Linked DNA regions of Macaca fascicularis. The protein of the gene in region 7 purifies or fractionates together with the protein of the main gene of each other region. This does not show direct contact. Links are inferred from orthologs where the notes say so. Each region holds a gene or a part of one and is shown on either strand. Other genes may lie near its edges. The genes, in order: CEP43, IER5, ANKLE2, TIPRL, LIMD1, CTTNBP2 and PPP2R1A.

Region 1 (3,500 bases), on a different chromosome or scaffold from region 7:
AAAGTGAAAAAAAACAGAACACAAAGGGGACAGGGCAGCCATCACAGTGCAGAAGTCAGGAGTAAAGTCTCCAGTGGCAGTTAGCCATTGAGGTCGAGTGGAAAAGAACATCTAATGGCAACCACAACCACAGCTGACAGGAAAAGCACAAGGGAGGGAAAGGGGGCAGGCCCACCTAGCTGGCCAGCCAGCAACCAGGACGCACAAAGAGCAGAGGGCAGCACAACCAGCAACTCAGTTACCAGGACTCCAGGGCACTGTGTGAACAAGAATCCAGGCGGCTCAGGGAACATTTATTCTTCTGCAAATGGGGGAACAAAGTAACATAAAAAGAAAACTAACATTTACTAGGCACCTACCATGCCAGGCACTGTACTTTAATTTACGTATGAAGAGATATTTAAATCCTATTTATTCTTTAAAACAAGGCAGATGTTACTAGTTCCACTTAACAGATGAGGAAGTAGCAGTTTAGTTTATCTCCCTACGCTACCCATCAATCAGTGCCACATCTGAGATGTCACTTCCATCCAACTCCAAGCCCAAGTTCTTTGCACTATCCAAAATGTCTCTCCAGAAGAGGGAAGGGCGTTCTCGGAGCTGCCCCTCGGACAGGGCTGGGTTTTAAAAGCACACGGGACACAGCTGTCTTTCTCCCCAACCTGCCTGTGCAGCTGTCTTCCAATGCTTCCATGTGTGAGTGATTACAGACCAGGAAGCGATGCCATCACATCCACAGAGAGCATAGGAAGTGGCCATCGAGAAGCTGGCTGCACCGATTCCTTCAGGTCAGCAAGTTTGCCTTTACATAAATGAGTCTGCCTAAAGTATGCCTGTCACCCTGCTACAGTCTTGTACACAACAGAACACTCAATGAGAACTGTGCTCTCAGCATATGGTGCAGGGCTCGGTAATGTTCACACTGACACTCTTACTTCCATAGGAATGAACGTACTTACATGGCAGGCTTACCAACTTCTGCTCCATAGAACAGAACTGAACACATCTCACAATTTTTCTTTCAATAAGTCTGTTTCCCCATTAGACTGAATTCTCTGAGGCCTGGACCATGTACTACCAGCATCTAGCAAATGGCTCTGCCTCTGCACAAATTTTTCTATCTGAACTGAAATATCTTCCCTTCTCTCTTATACATCTACTTAACCATGAAGCTTCTGCACAGAAGTCACTTCTTATAAAAGGTCTTCCCTGAATGCCAAGACTGGACAAAGGTAACCTACTAGCCATTTCCATACAAATATATACTGACCCTTTTACACTCAAAATTATCTGTAGATGCCCGTTTAATGTCCATATTCCTGACCAGAATTCAAACTCCATGAAGACAGAGGTTCATGAGGACATGATGGCTGTTGCTGTAGCCATCTCTCGTATAGGGTGTAATCCTGAACACGTAAAAGCCATTCAAACACCTGCTGAATGAGCAGCGGCAGGAAGGTGTTCAGCGTAGGCAGACTGAGTCACTTCTTTTACAACCTTACCCTAAAAATAATCACTTTAAAACGATCAACACAAAAACTGGAAATCTAGTTACCTAATCCAAGTGATCCAATTTTATCACTGATCAATTTCAGATCTTTCAAAACCGTATTTCCCCTTTTACCTGTGAACAGGAAAAAATACTAGCATTAGAGTGACTTTTAGAATACAACAGTCTCTAAACCACATCAATTTTTGTTGTTGTTCAATATGGGGGCTTCTTTATGACAGGAGCATAATAACCTAAAACTAAGGAAAAAATAAACTGTGATTAATGAATGCTTAAACTATGCATTACAACCCTTTTTTTGAGACGGAGTCTCACTCTGTCACTCAAGCTGGAGTGCAATGGCGCAGCCTTGGCTCACTGCAACCTCCGCCTCCCAGGTTCAAGCGATTCTCCCGCCTCAGCCTCCTAAGTAGCTGGGACTACAGGCACGTGCTACCACACCCGACTAATTTTTGTATTTTTAGTAGAGACAGGGTTTCCCTATGTTAGATAGGCTGGTTTCAAACTCCTGACCTTGTGATCCACCCGCCTTGGCGTCCCAAAGTGCTAGGTTTAAAGGCATGAGCCACTGCGCCCGGCTACAACCCTTTTTAAACCATAAACAATACTACTTTATTGGAACACAACCACCAAAAAATATTTTTGCCTAATTATAAGACATCACTTTCCATAAACAGCCCTGTTAGGTATGAATTCATAGACTACTGTTAATTATTTTCATGAATCTTATTTTTCCTTTGAACTTCTAAATTTTTCTTCAATGCAACTGCTATTTCATTTACTAAAGTGACAATCCTCACTGGTTTTTGGTCCTTCGTTCTCAACGTCCTCTCTAAATGATCATTCTCTAATCAGTGTCAGAATGACACGTTCATGATGTCCTGGATTCCTTTCTTAAAGGTGGCAGTAACCAAAGAAGCAAATGGGAAGGGATACGAACCTTATAAATACATGGCTGGTTTAAGAGAAGAAAGAGGTCGGCTCTCTTATGTGCCCTAGGAAGTCCCACAGTATATCAAGCAATACAAAAAGATTCGGAAGTACTGGACAATTATGCAAAACTCATACTGCAAATTCCTAGTGAATCTACTTTTGGAAACTTTCCAAAAGAGGTACACGAAGCTCTGAAACACTACGCTAATTAAATACAACATTTACTATTATATGGTTTCCAAAGGACCTCTGCCCATCCTACCTGTTCAGGGCTATGCTGTTTAAATTCCTATCACTGTGTGGGGAGAGGTGGGAAAGTAACTAGTGCCAGAGCTAGACTATTCCACATGTAATCAGTGCTCTTTAGCTCTGCTGCATTTACGATGACATGTCAGGTCATTCTTGAAAATGATCTGCAGAATAATTTTTTATTTAACATTTTATGATACTTACTGTGGTATCACTAAACAAATTTTTTAAAATTAATTGAAAGCAAATCCGACTCAAGTCACTGTAAATGTCCAAAAAAGGAGAGATGATTTAAAAATTATATTTCTATAGATAATACAAATCAGCTAAAAAATCAACTAAAAAGTATTCCGATGGTATGTAGGTATAGGAAGGGGCAGAATACAAAACAACATATAAAATATGACCACATAAGAAGTAACAAAATATTAACAGGAAAGATTTCTGAGTGATAAAATTATAGGTTATTTTAGTGATTTTCCTGGAAAAAAAAAATCAACAATAATCATATAGTGCTTAATTAGAGAAAAAATATCCCGAGTATTCAAGCCCACATCTTTGGGCACTTACTCTCAGAGTCTTTTAAGGAAGGGGCCCCCGCCAGGGAGCTGAGTCCACTTTTTAAGGGGGGTGCATCCGAGAGCGAGGCCAGGCTTCCTGGTTGCTTCCTAGGTTCACTCCTCCTAGCAAGAAACAAGGACAGTTAATCGGTGCTCTTATGTTCTGCCACTAAACACTTTTATCCTGCCACTGAAACAAAAGCAACTTAAAAGATACTTTATATGCACAGTGGCTGGAAATCAAGAAT
Region 2 (3,965 bases), on a different chromosome or scaffold from region 7:
AATAAATTCATTGCTTGGCCAATCCCTGGGGCAGGATCAGGCCCAGGGTTCCACATGGACTCCAAGAAAGCAGTGCTTAGTTTTCTCATTCAGTTTGTGGCTGAGAAGTTGTCATTTATCGTCTGTACAATAAAGCAGATGTGTATGTGACTTCCCCTTTTCAGCGGTGGAGACACTGAAGCGGTCTGAGGTTATTTACCCAGAGTCCTCAGGCAGGTCTGTGGTGGAGCTTCGGTGGAACTAACTGGAAGTGACTCCATGTTTCCAGTCCAGGACCCTGGGCAACCCTGTGGTAATTGTGCCCTGATATAAGGACCAGTAGATGGACTACATTGTTGACTGACCAGAAAATTCTGGAACTCCCTAGCGCTGTATTTTTACCTTGACACAAAATGAAATTATGACATCATCATGGGAACACAGGACTTCTTTCTTTTTATTTTCAGACCTTGCTCGATTTTTCCAAGGGTTGACTGATCAGTCCTTGTAATGGAAAAATGGAAATGGGAAAAAAATCATTGTGGAGAACCTGTAACATCTTCCATTTAACCTATTTGATAACTGGCTTTGTTCCAGAATCTAGAGAACAAAGTGAAAGATGCCGGCTTTAGAGGGCAACCAGTAACTTTGTATCTAGACACAATTCCTTGATAAGAAGCCAAGAACCTAGCCAAAAACTTTTAGAATCCCCTTTTTCTTTGGTGTTAGAACTGACAGCTGCTAAGAGTGTATGTGACTCTAGCGGGGAAAGCGGCTCATCCAAAAATAATGACAGCCAAATACTTTGCAGTAATACTATTTGTTATCCAGGGGTGTCCTCCGCCGCGTATAGCCACCATCTCTATTTTTGCCAGGGTTGAGGGGAATCGCTTACAGGTGTGGCGGGCCTGGAAATGGTGGCGTGGCCGGTTAGGGCGGAGTTGATCAGGAAAAGATCAGGACTTTATGGCAGAACAGAGTCCAACACCGTGCTCGGAAGAAAGTTCGAATATTTTGTTCGCTTTGGTTCCGGCAAGCCATCGCACAAGCCAGAATCTGTAACTCCAAACAGTAGCGCCCTCGAGCACGGTCCCGAGCACGGTCCCCAGCACGGTCCCCAACACTCACTCCCCATCGGCCTGGTCTCCGCCCGCAATCCGTCGCCCCCTTTAAGAGCTTGCTCCGCGGGACTAACGTTCGAACGGGCCTTGGCGCCCCTCCTCGGGCTCCGATTGGCCGTGCGCGGCGCACGAGGGCGCGCCGGCCAGCCCCGGAACGGTTGGCGGCCCTTCGTGATTGGCGGTCGAGGAGTCTATATAAGGCGCGGGGCGGCCGGGCTGCCCTGTTTAGCTACCGGACCCGAAACGGGGTAGTTGTCTGGTGTAGAGAGGTCTGCGGGGCAGTGAGCGCGCGTCACCGGAGTCATTTCTCTTCGGAGTCTTAGGTGATCAAGGGTGTGCCCACGGGGCGGACTTGTTTGCGCCTCCCGTTCCCTCCCAGTTTCCGAACGTAACACCCCGGCGCCGACGGCCCTGTGCAGGGGAGGCAGGATGGAGTTCAAGCTGGAGGCTCACCGAATCGTCAGCATCTCCCTGGGCAAGATCTACAACTCGCGGGTCCAGCGCGGCGGCATCAAGCTGCATAAGAACCTCCTGGTCTCGCTGGTGCTGCGCAGCGCCCGCCAGGTCTACCTGAGCGACCCGTGCCCCGGCCTCTACCTGGCCGGTCCCGCTGGGCTCCCGGCGCCGCCACCGCAGCAGCAGCCTGGGGAGCCGGCGGCCGGGCCACCCGCCGGCTGGGGAGAGCCGCCCCCGCCCGTCGCCCGTGCCTCTTGGCCGGAGACCGAGCCGCAACCGGAGCGCCCTTCCGTCTCACACGCGCCGCGGGTAGGGGACGAGGTGCCAGTGACCACGGTGACCGGAGTCGGGGACGTTCTTCAGGGCGGAGAGGCGGACGCGACGGAAGCTGCCTGGAGCCGCGTGGAGCGGCCGCGCCAGGCGGCGGCCGGAGAAGCCGAGGGTCCCGCCGGAGGCTGGGGCGTCTTCCCCGAGGGATCGCTTGCCGCGCGCCGCCCCTGCGGCTGCCCCCTAGGCGGGGAGGACCCGCCGGGTACACCGGCCGCGACCCCCCGCACTGCCTGCTGCTGCGCGCCGCGACCAGCCGAGGACGAGCCCCCCGCGCCGCCCGCAGTGTGCCCCAGGAAGCGCGGCGCGGCGGGGGTGGGCGGCGGCCCAGCGGGCTGCCCGGCGCCCGGCTCGACCCCGCTCAAGAAGCCCCGCCGGAACTTAGAGCAGCCGCCGAGTGGAGGAGAGGACGACGACGCGGAGGAGATGGAGACCGGGAACGTGGCTAACCTCATCAGCATCTTCGGTTCCAGTTTCTCGGGACTCCTACGGAAAAGCCCCGGGGGCGGCAGGGAGGAAGAGGAGGGAGAGGAGAGCGGCCCGGAAGCCGCCGAGCCCGGGCAGATCTGCTGCGATAAGCCGGTGCTGAGAGACATGAACCCCTGGAGCACAGCCATCGTGGCCTTCTGAGCCCTTGGCCCCCATGCGGGGAGGAGGTTGAGCAGCGGGCGTCCTCGAAGTGAGGGTCGGGCCCTTGCCGGCTGCGAGGACGCCCAGAGACCGCGGCCGCTGAGCGCGTTGGGCAGACTGGTTGCCGCTGGGCATCGCAAACTGCCCCCGGGCGCATCTGGCTTTTCTGGAGACCTGGGAGCTTGAGGCTCATTGGAAGAGGACGATCTTTAACTTTTTGTGTTTGTGTATGTCTGTGTATGTAAGTTTGTCTTGTGGCATTAAGACTATTTTGTTCTGGAATGCACCACTCCTTCCCCAGGGCTTAAGAGATTGGGGGCAGACAGGGACTTTCCTCTGCCGGCTGCGTGGAGAAGGAAGCGGCTAAAAGGTTTGGGCCGGGGAGTTCCCCATTCGTTCTCCGGGGAGGGAGGGACTTTACACCCACCCCTCACCGGAAAGCTAGACCCGCTTCAGGGCCAGGAGTGGCGTTTCCGCACAGGATTTCCTAAGACGAGAGGGATTTAGCCAGCAGCACAGACTTGGATTCCTTCTGTCCCTCCCCACCTTTCTCTCCCAATGAAGAAACGTTTATATCCTGTGATTACTCTAGGAAAGGGGCATATTAACCGTCCTTTGCTTCCCCGCAGGGGAGAAAAAGCTTGAACTTCACAGAAGAGTTCAAGCTTGGAAATAATGGAGTTTATAGAGAAAAGATATATTTTTAAAAGCTCTAGGTCAGAACTACTACACAGTGCTTTTAAAAAGTGTTTAATGAAAGTTTACAGACAGAAGCCCGAAGTGGAAAGACCTTATGGTTTTGTAGATATGGTGACTCCAGTCTTTGTTATATAAAGGTTGGGGGAGCTGATAAGGTTTTTGTACAGTATTTTCTCCTTCGTTGTATTGATTTTTGTATAAAAATGTAACTTCTACGTGTCTAACACGTATTAAATATTTTGAAGCAACGTAACTGCCTGCTTGTCTGCAATAACCTGCCTGGGTTGGGAGGGAAGTGGGAAGAGGGAAACCAGGGCCTGGGCTAGAAAATTGAAGGTGTGGTTCTTAATATCAGTCATTCGCAGACTGAGAACATTGTTTACTGACTCCACTAAGTATCAAGAGAGACACGTTTAATTTTTCCTCCTAGATCAGAGGAATGCTATTAGATACTAATATCAGCGACCTGCCAGGTTCTTGAAACCTACCGCTACAACTGGCTTTTCTAAGGTCGGTTTAGACCAATTTGTCACCCAATATGTGGGTGTATATTATTAAGTAATTTAACCATCAGCTTTTGAAGCCCTGCTTATCTGCAAAAATGTTTTTCAGCAAAACTTTGTTTCCTGTTAAGCTGTTAATATGGGTCATCTTTTAGCTTTGTAATTGAAAAAAAAAGTTTAGATAGTTTACCTTAAAAACCCATTCGAACTGACATAGGAAGATGAAAGAGACTGACTTGTCCAAATTGTC
Region 3 (4,050 bases), on a different chromosome or scaffold from region 7:
GCCACCACGCCCAGCTAATTTTTTGTATTTTTAGTAGAGACTGCCTCACCACATTGGCCAGGCTGATCTTGAACTCCTGACCTCGTGTTCCACCTGCCTCGGCCTCCCAAAGTGCTGGGATTACAGGCGTGAGACACGGCACCCAGCCGAGTATGCAACTTTTGAGATTGGCTTTTCCTAGTCAGCATAATGCCCTTGAGATCCACCTACGTGGCAGAGTGGACTGCTGCGGAGTGGCACCCTGGGGTATCAATGTTTAAGTTTAACCATCCACCTCTAGAGGGACATTTGAGTTATTTCAGTTTCTGGCAATTACAAATAAAGTTGCTATGAACATCAAATACGGGTTTTTGTGTGAAAATCGTTTTCATTTCTCTAATAAAAGCTCAGGAATGCAGAGCAGATTTAACTTCCTAAAAACCTTCCAGGCTGATTCCCAGAGTAGCTGCACCACTTACCATCCCCACTCGCAATGCACGAGACCCAGTTTCTCTAAATCTCTGTTGACTTGTGGTAATATCAGTATTTTTTTATTTCAGCCCCTCTCAAAACACCACCTCCAGCCACCTTGTCCACAGCTCTGCTTGGATGATGCTGGTGGTGACGGTAACAGAGCACTCAGAGGTGCTTAACACATACCAAGTGCTGCACTTACCCAACTCCCAAAAAATCTTAACTAGGTACTACTATAATCCCTATTCCTAAATGAGCAGGCTGAAGACAGGTTAAGCCCACAGCAGTAAGTGGTAGGGCCGGGCGCGATGGCTCACACCTGTAATCCCAGCTACTCGGGAGGCTGAGGCAGGAGAATGGTGTGAACCCGGGAGACGGAGGTTGCAGTGAGCCCAGATCCCGCCACTGTACTCCAGCCTGGGCGACAGAGCGAGACTCCGTCTCAAAAAACAAACAACAGCAGCAACAAAAATAGAAAAATTAGCCGGGCTTGTTGGCATTCACGTTTAATCCCAGCTACTCCGGAGGCTGAGGCAGGAAAATCGCTTGAACCAGGGAGGCGGAGCTTCCAGTGAGCCGAGATCCTGCCACTGCACTCCAGCCTGGGCGACAGAGCAAGACTTCATTTCAAAAAAAAAAAAAAAAGAAAGTGGGTAGGGCCAGGACACAAACTCACACAATCCGACAGGAATCCCCACTCAATCATTAGAAAGCACCGCTTCTCAGTGACTAACAGTCTGACAATTTAGAGTAAAAACAAACTCAGTTTCTCCCACTAGACTCTCGCAACATGCTTCAGACGCCAGATATGTGGGGGTTTTCTCGCCACGAATCACGCAGGTCATCAGTTCTGCAGTGGACACAGGCTGGGTGTCGTCTGTGCAGTTCCATCCTAACTCAGTCATCTATTCTGACAGCATCTTCCTGGACATACCAGCAGACCCCACAGGTTAAGGGCTCAGCCCCACAAGACTGTCCCCCACTTCCAGTGCCCAGGTTGTTTGACCTGCGCTTCGGACCGACTGGGTGTAACCGGGTAACCTCCTCAGGTTGTGTTAATTTGCTAGAGCGGCTCCCGAACTCACAGACATGTTTTACTTACATTTACCAGCATAGGATAAAGATTACAAAGAATACAGGTGAAGAGATGCGTGAGGTAAAACCGGGGGGAAAGGCTTGGAAATTCAAGGCCTCTCTGGGCACCGCCTCCAGGAATCCCCACGTACTATCCGGAAACTCCCTCAACCCAGCCCTTTTGGGTTTTTACAGAAACTTCATTTCACAGGCATTGGTGATCAGCTCAACCTTCAGCCCTCTCCCCTCCCCGGAGGTTGCGGGTGGGGCTGAAAGTCCCCAGAACCTCTAACTCAGCCTTGGTCTTTCCTGCGACCAGTCCCATCCAGAAGCTCCCTAAGGGCTGCCGGCCACCAGTCCACTCAGCCTACAAAAGACATCACATTGGAGGTCCCCGGGATTTCAGGAGTTGTATGCCATGAAAAGCGGATGGAGGTGAAACACACAGTTCACAGTATCAGTTACCTCAAACTTAAAATGACCCAAACCCACCTCCGCTCTCCACATCACCCAGACCCGACAGTCTACCCCAAAGCAATAAATGGACACCTTCTCCCGTTTCCTCCCGCCCCAAACCCCTAAGTCACATAGGCCTTTTCCGTCTCTGCCTCCTGTTCAATGACCAGTAACCGCAGGGGTTTCACATTCCAAACACATCCGGGACCCAGGGCTTCCTACCCGCGCCGCCCCCCCTTGGGCCATCCCTCCCCAGGTCTCCATCGACCGCAGCAAGGTTCTCCGCTAACGCCTCGCCGGGCTCCCGCCGCCTTCCCCGGAGGCCGCTCCCGAGCCCAGAAAGCTCTCATCCCCGAACCCGGCGTGGCCCCTGCCGCCCCCGCCCCGGGAAGCCGCGTTCCCCGCAACTGCCCTTTCCGCGGCCGGAATGGCCTTTCTCGAGCGGCCCTGGGAGAAAAGAATGGCCTTTCTCCCGGCGGCCTCGCCCAACTGCTGCCGGCACCGGGAGCTCGAGGGGCGCGGCCCAGGACGGGGTCCCGGGGAGGGCGTCGGGGCGGGGAAGGGACCGGGATGCAGGGGCCCAGCGACCGCCTGGGCCTTACCTGGGGCGGGGGCGGCGGCCGCGGGCGGCGGAGGGCCTGGGGTCCCACTGCGGCCCAGACCCCCAGGCCGCGGGCCCAGCCGCCGCACCAGCCACCGCACAGCGATCAGCAGCACCGAGGCGCCCAGCAGCTCCCAAGCCAGCGCCGCCCACTCGGCCGCCGCCAGCCGCGGCCACAGCATCGCCGCAGCCCGGGCCGCAGCCGCCTAGGAGCCCGCACCCTGCGCCGCGCCCGCTCCAGGACCCCGCGCCGGGCTGCCCGCGCCCTGCCTGACGGCGCCACGCTAGAGGCGGCCGGGGTGGCGCGGGGGACACGGGCGGCGGCCCCGCTCACGAAGGTCCGGCGAGGGCGCCGCGGTGGCCCCGGCCCTGCACCCCAAGCGGGCGGGGACGGGCGAGCGGACGGGCGGGCGCGGCAGGCGGGGCGCGGGCAGCCCGGCGCGGGGTCCTGGGAACTGCGCGGCGCGGAGAGGGTAATGTGTGGGCGGGGGCCGGGGCGGGGCTTGTTTACTGCCTCCCGGGCCTGGCCTCCGCGGGGCGCTGCGCCTCTTCGAGAACTAAGCGGGCTCCGCCGGGTTCGTGAGCTCCGGGCCCCAGGACCGTTTGCGGCCGCCGCCCCGTCCTGGAGCTGGAGTGAGGAGGCGCTTCTCACTTTCCTGCGAACCCGCAGAACGGGCGGCCGGCGCTGGGGAGGCCCCCGGAGCTTCCCGCTTCTTCACCAAGCGACCCTGACGCGCAGTAGAAAGCTTGGATTTTGCCGGGCGCGGCGGCTGCGTCCGGAGTCCCAGCGCCTTGGGAGGCGAGGCGGGAGGATCCCCTCGGCCCAGGAGTTCGAGACAAGCCTGGGCAAATATTTTGAAAGTCATGGTAAAAGCCTCAGTTACTTTTGCACCAACCTAATTGGGAGACCCTGTCCCGAAAAAGGGAGGAGGATTTTCCTGTATACAATTTAGATTTTTTTTTTTTTTTTTTTTTTTGATGCGGAGTCTTGCTCTGTCACCCAGGCTAGAGTGTAATGGCACGATCTCTGCTCACTGCAGCCTCCGTCTCCTGTGCTCAAGCGATTCTCCTGCCTTTCCTCCCAAGTAGCTGGGATTACAGGCGCCCGCCACCCCACCCGGCTAATTTTTGCATGTTTAGTAGAGACGGGGGTTTCATCATGTTGGCCAGGCTGGTCTCGAACTCCTGACGTCAAGTGATTGGCCTCCCAAAGTGCTGGGATTACAGGCGTGAGCCACCGCACCCAGCCTACTTTAGATATTATGAAATGAAAATGAAAGACCTGAAAAATACAATTGATATCCTTGGTTAAAAACATAATTGATCTGAGCGAGGTGGCTCAGGTCTGTAGTTCTAGCAACTCTGGAGGGTGAGGGGCGAGGGTAGTTTCAGTTCGGGAGTTCGAGGCTGCAGTGAGCGTGATCTCGCCTGTGAATAGCCACTGCATGCCAGCCTGACCGACATAG
Region 4 (3,500 bases), on a different chromosome or scaffold from region 7:
GCAAAACCCCCTCACATTACGTTCTGAGGGATGCCACAACAGAAAACAAGGACAATAAAAGTAGTTGCGAAAAATAACCCGTTACTAGAAAGTTCTAATGCTCAGACTGTCCAAGACAATTAATGACTCATAAAAGAAAAAAGTAAGATTTACCTTTAACTTAAGAGATTCTCCAAGTAAGGTTCCCTTATAATCTGTTGTATAGGTCCAATCGTATGGTTTAATAACCTCTTTGGAGTGTTCACCCTCCGTCCTCAAATACCAAAATGAGAAGGATCAGATTCAGTGATGCAGAATAGAGATTATCTGTATTTATATATCACATCCAATTATATTCTACAATAACATAAAATATCCTATTAAATATATACACTTGTTATAATTCACCAGTACAAGGTTTTTCTTACAGTTTTTCTACATTTATCGTTCTTTAACTTGTCATGTACTGATGTAGTCTTTTCAATTAGTCTGTACACTGCCTGAGGACACGGTTTAAAGGTTTATACTTCTTTGTATCATCTAAGGTACTTAGTACATATTAGGCACAAAGTAAATAATTGCTGATTTGACTATCAAAGAAAAACATGCTGTCTTAATTTCAATGCTTCTCAAATAGGATATTTATTAAGCATATCATAAGTAAACATTTTTCTTGAAAAACAGGAACATTAAATATAGCCTACTGCCTCTTCAATAAGGAATGCTGAAGAATTGAAAAAGTACATAGCTCAGCTCAGTTGTAATTCACTTTAATAAGAATTCAAGTAGTGGGGTAATTAACTTCCATTTTTATGTCTCAGAAAAATGAATTCTAGAATGATACAACTCTCATGTTTAATAATACCAGTTCTTCATTCTAACGACACACACGTATCATTACTGAATATTTTTTCAAGTCTTTCTCTTTTGTTTAACCTAATTATATTTTTTGTTTAACCTAATTGACCAGATTCTCACCTGCTTTCTTGCCACTCTTCAGCACAGGCCACTTTAAGCATTCCTTGGTAGTTGTTTACACATCTTAATGCATCTGTAGCATTGAACTCAATTCCAAAGCCAGAGCCATGCTGGATTCTTAAAACGTTGTCTCCAAACATCATTTCAGGGAGAGATGGCATATGTAATTCATCGGCTAATCTATACATAACCAAAAGTCATGTGAGATAATTTTATATCGCTGTTGGCATTTTTGTTTCTTTTCCAACCCAGAGAATTCTTCCTACATTGCTGAATGAGTTACACAGCGTATGATTTAATCAATATGATATATTTGCAAGGTCTACAAAATGCTTTCATCATCCATTCTTTCGTTATCATATCTTATGGCACTGTACTAGGTAGTGGGCTAAATAAGATAATATACAAACACAGATATAATAGCTTATTATATTACTATAATATATAGCACACAGATATTACTATAATATATATCATGAAGGTATGAAGAGAAGATAGCAAAGCAAATAAAGATACTGTCCCTTGTAGGAAAATAATTTTTCCACTAAAATTTTCAATTGTTGTAAGTTTCAAAAAGTGGTGATGAAAAAAGCAAAAGCACCTGATACTGATGAGGGAACCCAGCACTTGCCTATACAGACTTTCAGAAGGATTGTGTCAATTTACATTTCACCCTGGTGCAACAATCAAGCAAAAAATAACAGGAATTTAATAAAATCTACACACTTTGACCCAAAGTATCAGTTTTAGGATATCTGTACTAAAGAACAATTCCAAGTACAGAAAAAAACTATACACATTAATACTTACAATGGCTTTACTTATAATCGTGAAAAAGAAATACTCTGAATGTTTCATTATAAAGCAATAAATGATTATGGAAACCAAAGTATATCCATATGATGAAATATTACGGAACCATTACAAATGTTTAAAGAGAGAATATAATAATATGGAAAAATGCTTATGATAAAATAGTATGATCAAAATGCGTATGATAAACAAGACCTATGGCCACGCAAGGCAAGGATTAAGTCATGCCCGACAAACCATAAAATCTCATTAAATGGTTTTTTATGTGCAATGGTATAATGTGCCTTACTTTCCAACCTGACTGGTATAGCATCACAAGACAGACAGTAGGCCCCCTTTTCTTAAGCATTCCTTTCTACTGACTTCAAGTCTTTAAACAAAGCTTAACACTGTTTTTTGTTTGTTTGTTTTTGAGACAAGGTCTTACTCTGTCACCCCAGGTTGGAGTGCAGTGGCAAGATCTCGGCTCACTGCAACCTCCGCCTCCCAGGTTCAAGTGATTCTCTTGCCTCAGCCTCCCTCGTAGCTGGGATTACAGGCATCTGCCACCATGCTCAGCTAAGTTTTGTATTTTTAGTAGAGACTATTTTGGATAATCTTGAACTCCTGACCTCAGGTGATCCGCCCGCCACAGCCTCCCAAAGTGCTGTATACACATTGTATATTTTTTACATCTATATGTGTATTTCTGTGTGCACATATCAGTGATCTAACTTTTTGAGGTACAGGTCTTCAGGATGATACCTAACAATGTTACCTTTCATCATAATTTTAAGTAAAATTTATTCTTTGTTATTAGGAGATAGAAAATATTAAATACTTAAAAGATTAGATACAATAAACTGTAATTGGAATATATATTACATAAGATTCCATAAAATAAGTTTTAACTTGAATAATGCATACCAAATGTGAAATAATACGTGAGTCTGTGGGTTCTACCCAATACATCTGGAAAAATCTGGCAGTCCTATAAAATATTCCACTCATATATGTAAAAGAATCACTGTTACTAATTTACAGTCCTTCAATGTTCTAAATATAGAGTTTCTTAAACACAGGCCAAAATGCCCTATTTCTTTTTTCTTTTTTTTTGAGATGGAGTCTTGCTCTTTTGCCCAGGCTGGAGTGCAATGGCATGATCTCGGCTCACTGCAACCTCTGCCTCCCAGATTCAAGTAATCCTCCTGTCTCAGTCCCTCTAGTAGCTGGGATTACAGGCACGTGTCACCACGCCCGGCTAATTTTTGTATTTTTAGTAGAGACAGGGTTTCATCATGTTGGCCAGACTGGTCTCAAACTCCTGACCTCAGGTGATCCACCTGCCTTGGCCTCCCAAAATGTTGGGATTACAGGCGTGAGCCACAGTGCCAGGACTGAAAATGCCCTATTTCTAACATCAAGTTTCCCTCTTAAAAACAGGTATAACCAGTTATAAGGAGAGAAGACAGGAAGCTCCTCTGGTTTTAAGGTGCCTTAAATATTCATTAAAGGGAGTTTCTTTAATCCAATAATTTACCCAATCAATTTATTTAGCACCTTAGCGGTTTTTACAATCTATGGTAATGCATCACAGAAAAATTTAGGATTGGTGAGGGTAAGTCTTCCTTTTGTCATATAAAAAAGGCAGCTTTTTTTTTTTTTTCAGTGGAGGGGACAGAGTCTCACTCTATCATCCAAGCTGGAGTGCAGTGGCATGATCTCAGCTCACTGCAACATCCACTTCCCAA
Region 5 (3,500 bases), on a different chromosome or scaffold from region 7:
GACGTGATCCTAGCTTCCTAAGTAGCTGAGACTATAGGCACAGCATGCCTGGCTAATTTTTGTATTTTTAGTAGAGACGGGGTCTCACTGTGTTGCCCATGCTGTTCTCAAACTCCTGGGCTCAAGTGATCCCCCTGTCTTGGTCTTCCAAAGTGCTAAGATTACAGGCACGGGCCCATGCCTGGCTGGATATTTTGAACTGAATAAAATAATTAATCTCACCTGTTTCTTTTAACTTTTTAATTGTGGCTACCAGAAAACTTAAAATGATACCATGACTTTAATTTGTTGCTCTCATATTTCCTTCTTTTTTTGAGATGGAGTCTCACTCTGTTGCCCAGGCTGGAGTACAGTAGCACAATCTCAGGTCACTGCAACCTCCACCTCTCAGGTTCAAGCAATTCTCCTGTCTCAGCTTCCCGAGTAGCTGGGACTACAGGTGTGTGCCACCATGTCCACTAATTTTTGCATTTTTAGTAGAGATGGGATTTTGCCATGTTGGCCAGGCTGGTCTTGAACTCCTGACCTCAAGTGATCTGCCAGCCTTGGCCTCCCAAAGTGCTGGGATTGCAGGCGTGAGCCATCGCGCCCGACCCCTTATGTTTCTTTTGGATAGCACTGGTCTAGAAAATGTGGAGAGGCCTGTTGAGCAAATGTCCTCACCTTTTTCTCCTGCAGTGACCTGGGGCACCTGGGGTCCCGCAGCAATGATTCCCACCCATTTCTTCAGTGTTGGCAGTGGGACAAGTCTACATGAGGGACACCCCTGTTCTCTACTCACAAGGTCACCAAATGAATCTAATCTCCTTCCATGGGTGAATTCACTTAATTGTGGCTGAAATTTCATGGTCACCCTTCACAGGGGCTGGTGAGGGGCGATCCCTAGCTTTCCTAACAGTCATCAGGTACTAGTGCTGCTTCATCCTGGGACACAGGGCAGGAAGGGGCAAGCGGACCCCACCTGCCTTCACACCACCAGCTGACATGCCTGTTTCCAGGAGGGGTTTCCTGATTTCCAGGGCTTGGCTGAGAAACAGGCTTCTGGAAGACAGAACAGCCTACAAGCTGGAGGGGAGGGTGTCCCTTCCCCACATCGCACACCTGCCTGACAATGTGGCCCCCAGACAGCACCTGAAACCCATGCTCTCCACCACCCTCCTAGCTCTGCAGCTTCAGGGATAGTAGGTCTGACAGTTGCAGGCCTTGATAGTTCTGAATGTGCAAAAGAAAGAGCTTTATACCTCGAGCATTTCCATCTTCTCCTACCTCCCCCAAGAACTAGCCTTCACTCCATTTCCTACAGAAGTTCTAGAGGGCTGAACCTTGCCAGAATCTTGTTGACCGCCTCTTGCCCCAGTCAACGCAGGATGCTCTTCTCTTGGATGTCTACAATGGGCTCTGGGGGCCGGGTGGGGAGGGGCCTACCTCGCAGTGGTAACACTCCACGTGGTAGTCTCTGTCCATGGACACGACACGGATGGTCTCATCTGAGCCCTGGGACCAAAGAAAAGCAAGAACACGCCCGAGAGACCTGTTAGGGGCCTGTTGGGTTTGATGTACCACAGGGTGGGGAGGGAAGAGGGTGTTGGGGTAACAAGTAGGTGGCCTTGGGAGGAGAAGGTAAACAGGAGTACTTGTTGGAAAAAGAATACATTTAAGCTGATGAGAGGGAAAGTGGGAGGGACAGGAGCCCTTCCTTCTGGAATGCTGGAGTCAACACTGAAAGAAAGACCTACATGGACACTTATTTTAAAAAATGAATAAAAGACAAGTCTTTCTGCTCATCTGCTAATCTAAGAATTAGTCATCAGGTAAGGGAGTTTGACCTGATCCTGGGGACAAACCAGCACAAGAAGGGTACTGGGGCGGGGAAGCCCGTCAACAAGGAGGGGTGAGGACGTGACTTCTCTCAAAGGTGAGTTTTTTTTTTTTTTTTTTGGAGACAAGGTCTTGCTCTGTCACCCGCTGGAATGCAGTAGCACCATCATAGCTCACTGCAGTCTCAAACTCTTAGGCTCAAGCAGCTAGGACTACAGGCACATGCCACCACGCTTGGCTAATTTTTAACAATTTTCTGTAGAGATGAGGTCTTGCTATGTTGCCCAGGCTGTTCTTAAACTCTAGGCCTCAAGCAATTTTCCTGCCTGCCTAGGCCTCCTAAAGTGGTGGGATTACAGGCGTGAGCCACTGCACCAGGCCAGAGTTGAGATTTTTAAAAGGATACCTTAAAAGATGTAAGGACAGGACATGGATCTTGTAAATGAGCCCAGGGAGATATTCATGTTTTAGAAGCCCCTGGGAGCATGTCTGGAAAGGCATCTTACCTCAGGTGGAAGGATGGGAAGCCCACAGGCTGCACACTTGGGGGCCAGCACCCTGCGGGGAGAAACAAAGCAGCAGTAAATGCACACTGTGTTGTTTCTGGGAGCAAAGCCCAGAGTCAGACTTGCACTTGGAATCCACATGGAGCCTTCCTCCATGCTGCCTCCTGCCCTTTGCTCTCCTCCCTCATAGAATGTCTGGAACCTGGCTCACTTTGTGGAATATGCCTTAGTATCTGTTCCCCAGCTGCAATGAGGACACTGGCTGCCTCTCACTCTTCTGGGGACAGCACTAACCTATTTGTTTACACCCCTCATGGTGCCTAGCACAGGCCCAGGCAAACCAAGACTGGTGGGAACCAGCACTGCATAGGGGCCTTGTGAAGTTAGGTAACGCTGAAGCCACAGGGCTTGGTGGATTCCTCCCGAGGCCTAGCCAGGAATACGATTATTAGTTTTTTGTGCTCTGTTTTTGTTTTTCTCACTAAACATGATTCTTTAACCCATTCCTGTCAACACTGGCATTGACCAACCTCCCAAGATCCCTACTGCACCCCTCAAAACCATTAAGCCTTTGCTGGACTGTGATCTAAGGGCAGCTGGCAAACACAGTTCTGTTGGTTTCCACCGCTCACTCTGCTGAGATCAGCTTGGCCTACACGAATGGGTCCCGTCTGCTCCCGTCCCTTCTTACTTGTGGTAATCTCGGACACAGTAGATCTTGTTCTCCGAGTCCACGGTGAAGGGCACCCCATCCAAACACTCATTACAGACGACACAGCGGAAACAGCCGGGGTGGTAGGACTTCCCCAGGGCTTGCAGGATCTGGAGGAGAGGCCAAGACTCAGTGGGGATTATAGGGAAGGATGGAATGGTGGAAGGGCAGAGAAATACATCAGTCCTAAGGATTACATGAGTGGTCACACACGGAGTACACTTACCCCCGAGTTTCACCTAGGAGAAGAGCAAGAGGTGATGGGGTGGGAAAGGCAAATCTGTTTAGATGAATACACAGAAGAGACCACCTAAGAATCTTTTTCCTGCAGCCTCTCACAGGGTCTCTGAGCTGGGAGGGAAAGAGGGCTCCTTTCCAACCCTCACCCAGAGCAGGAAACTCTTGCACAGTTCTTTAATAGAAAGAGATGCTAAGGGAGGGATGGGCCAATCCCAGGGCCAAAA
Region 6 (3,500 bases), on a different chromosome or scaffold from region 7:
CTTTTCATGATACTTTACCTCAGAGATTAATTATTTTAAAGCATTAAACCTTTTTTAAAAATATCACCAGTTCCATCACAGAGCTGTGTTTTTACAAAAATAGATCTTTCTGATCCCTGTGATTTAAAGCATCTGGTTATTGTTCTGTTTTTCTGTAGTTAACTTCAGTAGACTTTAAAAATTCTCTGTTGTTGTAATTTAGATGTTTTTATAAAGCCATTTACATCTATTTTCTCATTTTAATGGGCCTTTAAAATATTTCTTATCACAACACTTTTTGAAAATGTGGCGTTTTTGCTAACCCGAATATGTCATTGTTAGAAAATTAATAAAAATCTCACAAAAAGCATTTCCTTGGTGAAAAGAAAATTCTGTATATTAATCAGGATTTTCCTGTGAATTTCTTTCAGCTGGAAATGGAGAAGCTTCAGCTACAAGCCCTTGAGCAAGAGCACAAGAAGCTGGCCGCCCGCCTCGAGGAAGAGCGCGGCAAGAACAAGCAGGTGGTCCTGATGCTGGTCAAAGAGTGCAAGCAGCTCTCCGGCAAGGTCATAGAGGAGGCCCAGAAGCTCGAAGACATAATGGCCAAACTGGAAGAGGAAAAGAAAAAGACAAATGAATTAGAAGAAGAACTCTCTGCTGAGAAACGAAGAAGCACAGAAATGGAAGCTCAGATGGAAAAACAGCTCTCTGAGTTTGACACCGAGCGGGAACAGCTTCGTGCCAAGCTGAACCGGGAAGAAGCACACACAACTGACCTCAAAGAGGAGATAGACAAGATGAAGAAAATGATTGAGCAACTGAAAAGGGGAAGTGACAGTAAACCAAGCCTCTCTCTTCCACGGAAGACAAAAGATAGGCGTTTGGTTTCCATATCTGTGGGAACAGAAGGAACTGTGACAAGGTCTGTTGCATGCCAGACAGACCTAGTGACAGAAAGTGCTGACCATGTGAAAAAGTTGCCTTTAACCATGCCTGTAAAACCTTCCACAGGGAGCCCCCTAGTTTCTGCAAATGCAAAAGGGAGCGTGTGCACTAGTGCCACAATGGCCAGACCAGGTATTGACAGGCAGGCTTCCCACGGTGACTTGATTGGCTCTTCTGTACCCGCTTTCCCACCTCCAAGTGCAAACAGAATTGAGGAAAATGGACCAAGCACTGACTCAACACCAGATCCAACCAGTAGCACACCCCCACTTCCCAGTAATGCTGCCCCTCCCACCACTCAGACACCAGGCATAGCTCCTCAGAACTCCCAGGCTCCACCTATGCACAGTTTACATTCACCATGTGCCAACGCCTCTTTGCATCCAGGTCTAAACCCACGAATCCAAGCAGCTAGATTTAGATTTCAGGGCAATGCTAACGACCCAGACCAAAATGGAAATACTACCCAAAGTCCTCCGTCAAGAGATATGTCACCTACAAGTCGTGACAACCTAGTGGCCAAACAACTAGCTCGGAATACTGTGACCCAAGCACTGTCAAGATTTACAAGCCCTCAAGCAGGTGCTCCCTCAAGGCCTGGAGCGCCCCCAACAGGGGATGTTGGCACTCACCCTCCAGTCGGTCGGACCAGTTTAAAGACTCACGGTGTTGCACGAGTTGACAGAGGAAATCCTCCTCCTATCCCTCCAAAAAAGCCAGGGCTCTCCCAAACTCCTTCTCCACCACACCCCCAACTCAAGGTTATTATAGACAGCAGCAGGGCCTCGAACACAGGGGCCAAAGTTGATAACAAAACTGTGGCTTCGCCTCCTTCCAGTTTGCCACAAGGGAACAGGGTGACCAATGAGGACAACCTTCCTAAGTCATCCTCCCCTCAGCTGCCACCAAAACCATCCATAGATTTAACTGTGGCACCTGCAGGCTGTACCGTTTCAGCCCTGGCCACATCTCAGGTGGGTGCCTGGCCTGCTGCAACCCCCGGACTGAACCAACCTGCATGTTCAGACAGTTCCCTTGTCATTCCTACCACCATTGCCTTTTGCTCTTCCATAAACCCCGTTAGTGCCTCATCCTGTAGACCAGGTGCCTCAGACAGCCTCCTGGTAACAGCATCAGGTAAAGGGATCGAACTGTTATACCCTTTTTAAAGAATATGGCCTCTCTTCTCACTTGCCTTGATTTTCTTCACATTGCCTTGAAACTTTTTTTTAAATTTTATGCTTCCCCCACCCCCACCCATTTCTTTTCTCTCTCTCTCTCTCTTTTTTTTGTTTTTTGTTTTTTGTTTTTTGATTTTTGTTTGTTTGTTTTTAAAAGCTCCAGGGTATGGTGATTCATCTTGCTATATGAATTGCGGTTTCACTATGCTAAGTGCTTTCTTCTTTTAAAATAACCTGAAAGTAGTGGCTTAAAGCACATGGAGACCATTAATTTAGAGAGACTAAAGTATTTACATGGGAGAAAAGAGTATTCCTTCTTATTAAATATTTATCTCGCAAGACCTCAGTGGGTCATCATCAGACAGTACATGTTTAATTCTGTTCCTTCTGAGATGATATTTTTAAAGGCCTTTCAAGTAATTATTAACACTATATTGGATTACCAAATTGACTAGATTTGTTCTGTAATTGGTATATTTTAAGTTCTAATATCAGTTTGGTGTTTAGAGGTTTTTTTTGTTGTTTTCTTTTTTACCCTCAGAAATGGAGTGTGAATATTTATAAATCTGTTCTAAGTTTATTTCTAAAAGCTATGTACCCTATTTAGTGCTGCCGTCTTCCAGCACTTGGGCACAGATGGTTAACATAGCATGTGGGCTATGTTACAGAAGGTTTCCATTGCAGGTGTGGCTTATGAAGTCACTGAATCTGGGACTCTTGAACAAAGAAAAGGTGGATTTTTCCTTTTTGTTATACAGTGCTAGAGAAAGCATTGCTTTTTATTGACATGACTGGATTAGTTCTTTACTAAGCAAATGTGGCTCTAAAGTAATGTTACCAAAAACACATAATTATAAATAACAAGAGACTAGATTCCAACACCCATCTGACTAACTGCAAAGTCCATGCTGTTTCCAGTTCCCAATTTTACCCCTCAAAATGTGGAAGACAAAGTTCTGTTGAAGCTTTGGAGAAGTCTCTCCTACCATGGGATCTCAGTGGTTGGTGGAGATTGTTGGTTCTAACGGGAGGAAACTTTTATAATTACAGGAAGGTTTGAATAGTTGTTATATTGAGTACTTTGAAGGGAGAGAGAGAAAAGCAAATAGCATCATATTTGCTAATTATCAGGTGATGGCAGCAGTACTTTAGGATTTATTTGTCCAACTATAAGCTATCAACTTGAAATTAAGGTCTTTGAGAGGCTTTATCCATATTTTGAGGGGCAAAATAGGGAATTGGAAGCAGCATGGACTTTGAAGTTAGATCTATGTTGAAATCTAGTCTCTGCCATTTACAGTTGTGCATTTTTGGTGACTTCTTATGCTACTCATATGGGGGAGGGTGGCTGTTAGGAGGAGCAGATCCTCTAATCTGTCAGCATAGTATTGA
Region 7 (3,500 bases):
TAGTCACACGTCTATTAACTGAAGGAGCCAAAATTTGGACCCAGGTAGTCTGGTTCCAAGGCACCTGCTCTTAACCCCCAAAATACTCGGCCAACATCTATGAAACTGAACTGCACTACAGGACAGCAGCCAGAGCACCTCGTGGACCCTCTGCTCCACAGGCCAGCAGCACTCCTCGGGGGATCCCCAGAGAATTCTCTCGGGACATAGGGGTATAATGGGTCCTGTAACAAGATCTTCTCCAGAGAAAAGGGCAGATGTTATGACTCTGGGGTGGTGTCCCCTCCTCCATGCTGATGACTAAGGCCAGAGGACTGACTACTTCTAGACCTTTATTTCTCTGTGAAAAGGGGGAAAATAAAAGGAATAAAATAAAAATGGCACAGTTGACACACAAAAAAAAAACCAATGAGGGGAAGGATGGGAGGTGAAGTAAATGGGGGAGGGGTTCCCATTACAGCAGCAGGATCCAGTGACCCGGGATGCTCACATCTCTCCCCGACGTGGGCGGAGTAGCCCCTTCCTCCCAGGGTCGCTGTCCTGTCCAACCCCGTGCTCCCCCAGCCCACTGGGAAGTGGACAGTGAGACATCTTCCCAGGCTGGGGAGAGGAGGAACCGTGCTGGGGGAAGGGGCCTGGGGTCAGACCATGCACAGGGAGTGACAGCCAAAGGCCCCCCAGTGTCTCTCCAAAGAGGGACTTGTGGGGGTTGGAGGTGGACACTAGAGGCCAGTGTTTGCTCCTCTTCCAGCATCAGGCGAGAGACAGAACTAGGAAAACAGGAACAGGCAAGAATCAGAACCACAGCCCTCTCTCTGCCCACAATGCCATGGTACCTCCCCCTCCCAGAAGCTGCGACCTTGTTCTCAAAGGACAGCCTAGCACCTGTCCTCAAAAGTCCACCCTCCTGCTAGGGCTCCCTGCTTTCTAGGTCTTACCAGTCAGAGCCTCCTGGGCAAAGTATTTGACGTCCACATCCTGGTCCTGGGTCAGCTTCTCTAGGATGGGCTTGACTTCACTCTGCAGGGTGCTGGAAAGCGAAAAGGAGACAGAGAAAGGGAGCGTACTGGGGCAACAGGTGGGCACAGGGCTCTTGAGCAAGAGGGTATACACAGACATGGATACACCAAACCCAAGGTGAGAGGAGTCTCAAGAATCCAGGACATACACAGGAATGAGAAATCTCCGCTCAATGCACAGGAAGGTGACCATAGTTAACAATAATATTTTGCATATTTCAAAACAGCTATAAGAGAAGATTTTGAATGTTCTCATTACAAAGAAACGGTAAACATTTAAGGTGATAGATATGCTAATCATCCTAATTTGATCATTACACATTTGCACACATTATCAAAACACTACTATACCCCCATAAATATGTATAATTATGTGTATATTAAAAGTAAAATCAGGCCTGGCATGGTGGCTCACATCTGTAATCCCAGCACTTTGGGAGCCCAAGGTGGGTGGATCATCTGAGGTCGGGAGTTTGAGACCAGCCTGGCCAACATGGAAAAACCCTGTCTCTACTAAAAATACAAAATTAGTAGGGTGTGGTGGTGCACGCCTGTGATCCTAGCTACTTGGGAGACTGAGGCAGGAGAATCGCTGGAACCTGGGAGGTGGAGGTTGTGGTGAGCCAAGATTGCGTCATTGCATTCCAACCTGGGCAACAAGAGTGAAACTCCGTCTCAAAAAAAAAAAAAAGTAAAATCAAGGCCAGGTGCGGTGGCTCATGCCTGCAATCCTAGCACTTTGGGAGGCCAAGGTGGGCAGACCACTTGAGGCCAGGAGTTCAAGACCAGCCTAGACAACATGGCAAAACCCCCGTCTCTACTGAAAGTACAAAAATTAGCCAAGCATGGTGGTGCACACCTGTAATCCCAGCAACTTAAGAGGCTGAGACACAAAAACTGCCTGAACCCAGGAGGCAGACGTTGCAGTGAGCCGAGATTGCACCACTGCACTCCAGCCTGGGCGACAGAGTGAGATTCTGTCTCAAAGGAAAACCAAACAAACTGCAAAAAAACCAACCAACCAACCAACCAATTACTTTAAAAGTCAGAAGTATGACAAACAACAACAGACTTCTCTGGGGCCCCAAACAGGGAGATCAGAGCAGGCTGGGAAAGTAGAACAGAATCACAGAACTCCCAAGTCTCTGAGGCCCAACAAATGGGTATCTTTCATTGATTTCACACATATTCACTGAGGCCTACAATGTATATGGAATGAATACGGAGCTAAATCACTTTTTCTTGCCATGAGGCATCCGGGCCAGGAGCAAGACAGAGACCAAACTGCTACGTAAGAAGGGAGTGGTAAGTGGTCCCAAGGGAAAGTTTCTGGTCCTCCAGGAGCCCAGAGGAGGCAACCACTCTCATCTATGGGGCCCAGGGAACTCCGCCTGCACCGAGTCAATTGTTTTGGGAAATGGAGGAGGACTTCGGAGAGAAACTAAAGCTGAGGTTGTGTCCTGGAACAGATTCAGACAGAAATCAAAAGTGCAGGCTTTGTGGGTCCCCCACTTTCACTTGACAGCTCCCTGTTCTCCCCAAATAACCACTATTCTTACTTCCATCATCTCGATTCTTTCATTCTGCCTGTTTCTGAACTTGACATAAATGGTGTGTTTTCTTGGGTTTGGCTCCTCACTCAACATGGTATCTGTGAGAGCCACCTGTGTTGCCGCCTACAGCAGGCATTTGATTTTTCACTGCTGAATAGTTTTCCACTGTATGAATGAACTAAAATTTATCTGCTCTACTGTGGGCAGACATGGAGGTTTTTTCTGTTTTTATGGCTACTATGAATAAAGCTACCATGAACATTCTTCGGACAGAAACAGCACTCATTTCTCCTGGATAGAGACCCAGGAGTGGAAGGGCTGTTTCACAGGGTGTTTGTATAACAAGCTTCACCAAATTCCACTCCAGTTCCACTCCCGTTTTCAGAGTGATCAAACCCTAAATACACAGCCTCACGTGCAACGGATGAGAGTTCCAGCTCTATGTCTTCAACATTTGCACCATTGAGTCTTTTTTAATATTGGCTGTTCTGGGAGGTGTGTAGTGATATGTCACTGAGCTTTAATTTGCACTTTCCTGAAGGCTGATGATGCTGAACACCTTGTCATATGCTTACAAGCTATGTGGAGATCCTTTTTCAAGTGCCGATTCAAGTCTTTTTTCCCATCTCTTTCTTGCCCTGCCTGGTTTGTAGACAGGTATTGTGGATGAGTCCTTTCTCAGAAACATACATTGCAGACATCTTCCTCCAGTCAAGGGCTTGCATTTTACTCTCAAAATGCTGTCTTTTGAGAAATAGTGCTACATTTTACAGAAGGTCAACTTACCCATCAATTCCTCTGGTTTGCTGTGCCTACGCTAACTCATGAAGATATTTTCCTACATTTTCTTCTAGATGTTTTATTTTTTAAATCTTTCTGGTTCTGGTCTGTCATCTCAAATTAATTTGTTTATGCATTGAGGCGAGGC

Evidence for each region.
Region 1: the proteins of PPP2R1A (region 7) and CEP43 purify together in Homo sapiens (affinity purification with mass spectrometry; 5 studies listed by BioGRID and IntAct, with this or other methods). This does not show direct contact. The link is inferred for Macaca fascicularis from reciprocal best matches to the Homo sapiens genes PPP2R1A and CEP43.
Region 2: the proteins of PPP2R1A (region 7) and IER5 purify together in Homo sapiens (affinity purification with mass spectrometry; 3 studies listed by BioGRID and IntAct, with this or other methods). This does not show direct contact. The link is inferred for Macaca fascicularis from reciprocal best matches to the Homo sapiens genes PPP2R1A and IER5.
Region 3: the proteins of PPP2R1A (region 7) and ANKLE2 purify together in Homo sapiens (affinity purification with mass spectrometry; 7 studies listed by BioGRID and IntAct, with this or other methods). This does not show direct contact. The link is inferred for Macaca fascicularis from reciprocal best matches to the Homo sapiens genes PPP2R1A and ANKLE2.
Region 4: the proteins of PPP2R1A (region 7) and TIPRL purify together in Homo sapiens (affinity purification with mass spectrometry; 3 studies listed by BioGRID and IntAct, with this or other methods). This does not show direct contact. The link is inferred for Macaca fascicularis from reciprocal best matches to the Homo sapiens genes PPP2R1A and TIPRL.
Region 5: the proteins of PPP2R1A (region 7) and LIMD1 purify together in Homo sapiens (affinity purification with mass spectrometry; 4 studies listed by BioGRID and IntAct, with this or other methods). This does not show direct contact. The link is inferred for Macaca fascicularis from reciprocal best matches to the Homo sapiens genes PPP2R1A and LIMD1.
Region 6: the proteins of PPP2R1A (region 7) and CTTNBP2 purify together in Homo sapiens (affinity purification with mass spectrometry; 3 studies listed by BioGRID and IntAct, with this or other methods). This does not show direct contact. The link is inferred for Macaca fascicularis from reciprocal best matches to the Homo sapiens genes PPP2R1A and CTTNBP2.

What each region holds. Positions count from the first base shown.
Region 1 is NC_088378.1:4,055,244-4,058,743, forward strand, and holds part of CEP43 (centrosomal protein 43), read right to left. Parts: intron 3,376-3,500; coding exon 3,263-3,375; intron 1,625-3,262; coding exon 1,556-1,624; intron 302-1,555; exon of another isoform or gene 176-301; intron 1-175. UniProt on the Homo sapiens protein: Required for anchoring microtubules to the centrosomes. Required for ciliation.
Region 2 is NC_088375.1:38,576,677-38,580,641, forward strand, and holds IER5 (immediate early response gene 5 protein), read left to right. Parts: upstream 1-1,323; 5' UTR 1,324-1,529; coding exon 1,530-2,513; 3' UTR 2,514-3,465; downstream 3,466-3,965. UniProt on the Homo sapiens protein: Plays a role as a transcription factor. Mediates positive transcriptional regulation of several chaperone genes during the heat shock response in a HSF1-dependent manner. Mediates negative transcriptional regulation of CDC25B expression.
Region 3 is NC_088385.1:139,880,680-139,884,729, forward strand, and holds the start of ANKLE2 (ankyrin repeat and LEM domain-containing protein 2), read right to left. Parts: upstream 2,801-4,050; 5' UTR 2,767-2,800; coding exon 2,586-2,766; intron 1-2,585. UniProt on the Homo sapiens protein: Involved in mitotic nuclear envelope reassembly by promoting dephosphorylation of BAF/BANF1 during mitotic exit.
Region 4 is NC_088375.1:25,846,214-25,849,713, reverse strand, and holds part of TIPRL (TIP41-like protein), read right to left. Parts: intron 1,138-3,500; coding exon 958-1,137; intron 254-957; coding exon 154-253; intron 1-153. UniProt on the Homo sapiens protein: May be a allosteric regulator of serine/threonine-protein phosphatase 2A (PP2A). Isoform 1 inhibits catalytic activity of the PP2A(D) core complex in vitro. The PP2A(C):TIPRL complex does not show phosphatase activity.
Region 5 is NC_088376.1:108,578,012-108,581,511, reverse strand, and holds part of LIMD1 (LIM domain-containing protein 1), read right to left. Parts: intron 3,147-3,500; coding exon 3,016-3,146; intron 2,377-3,015; coding exon 2,325-2,376; intron 1,495-2,324; coding exon 1,426-1,494; intron 1-1,425. UniProt on the Homo sapiens protein: Adapter or scaffold protein which participates in the assembly of numerous protein complexes and is involved in several cellular processes such as cell fate determination, cytoskeletal organization, repression of gene transcription, cell-cell adhesion, cell differentiation, proliferation and migration.
Region 6 is NC_088377.1:159,231,777-159,235,276, reverse strand, and holds part of CTTNBP2 (cortactin-binding protein 2), read left to right. Parts: intron 1-410; coding exon 411-2,064; intron 2,065-3,500. UniProt on the Homo sapiens protein: Regulates the dendritic spine distribution of CTTN/cortactin in hippocampal neurons, and thus controls dendritic spinogenesis and dendritic spine maintenance.
Region 7 is NC_088393.1:59,992,718-59,996,217, reverse strand, and holds the end of PPP2R1A (serine/threonine-protein phosphatase 2A 65 kDa regulatory subunit A alpha isoform), read right to left. Parts: intron 1,031-3,500; coding exon 939-1,030; intron 771-938; coding exon 754-770; 3' UTR 316-753; downstream 1-315. UniProt on the Homo sapiens protein: The PR65 subunit of protein phosphatase 2A serves as a scaffolding molecule to coordinate the assembly of the catalytic subunit and a variable regulatory B subunit.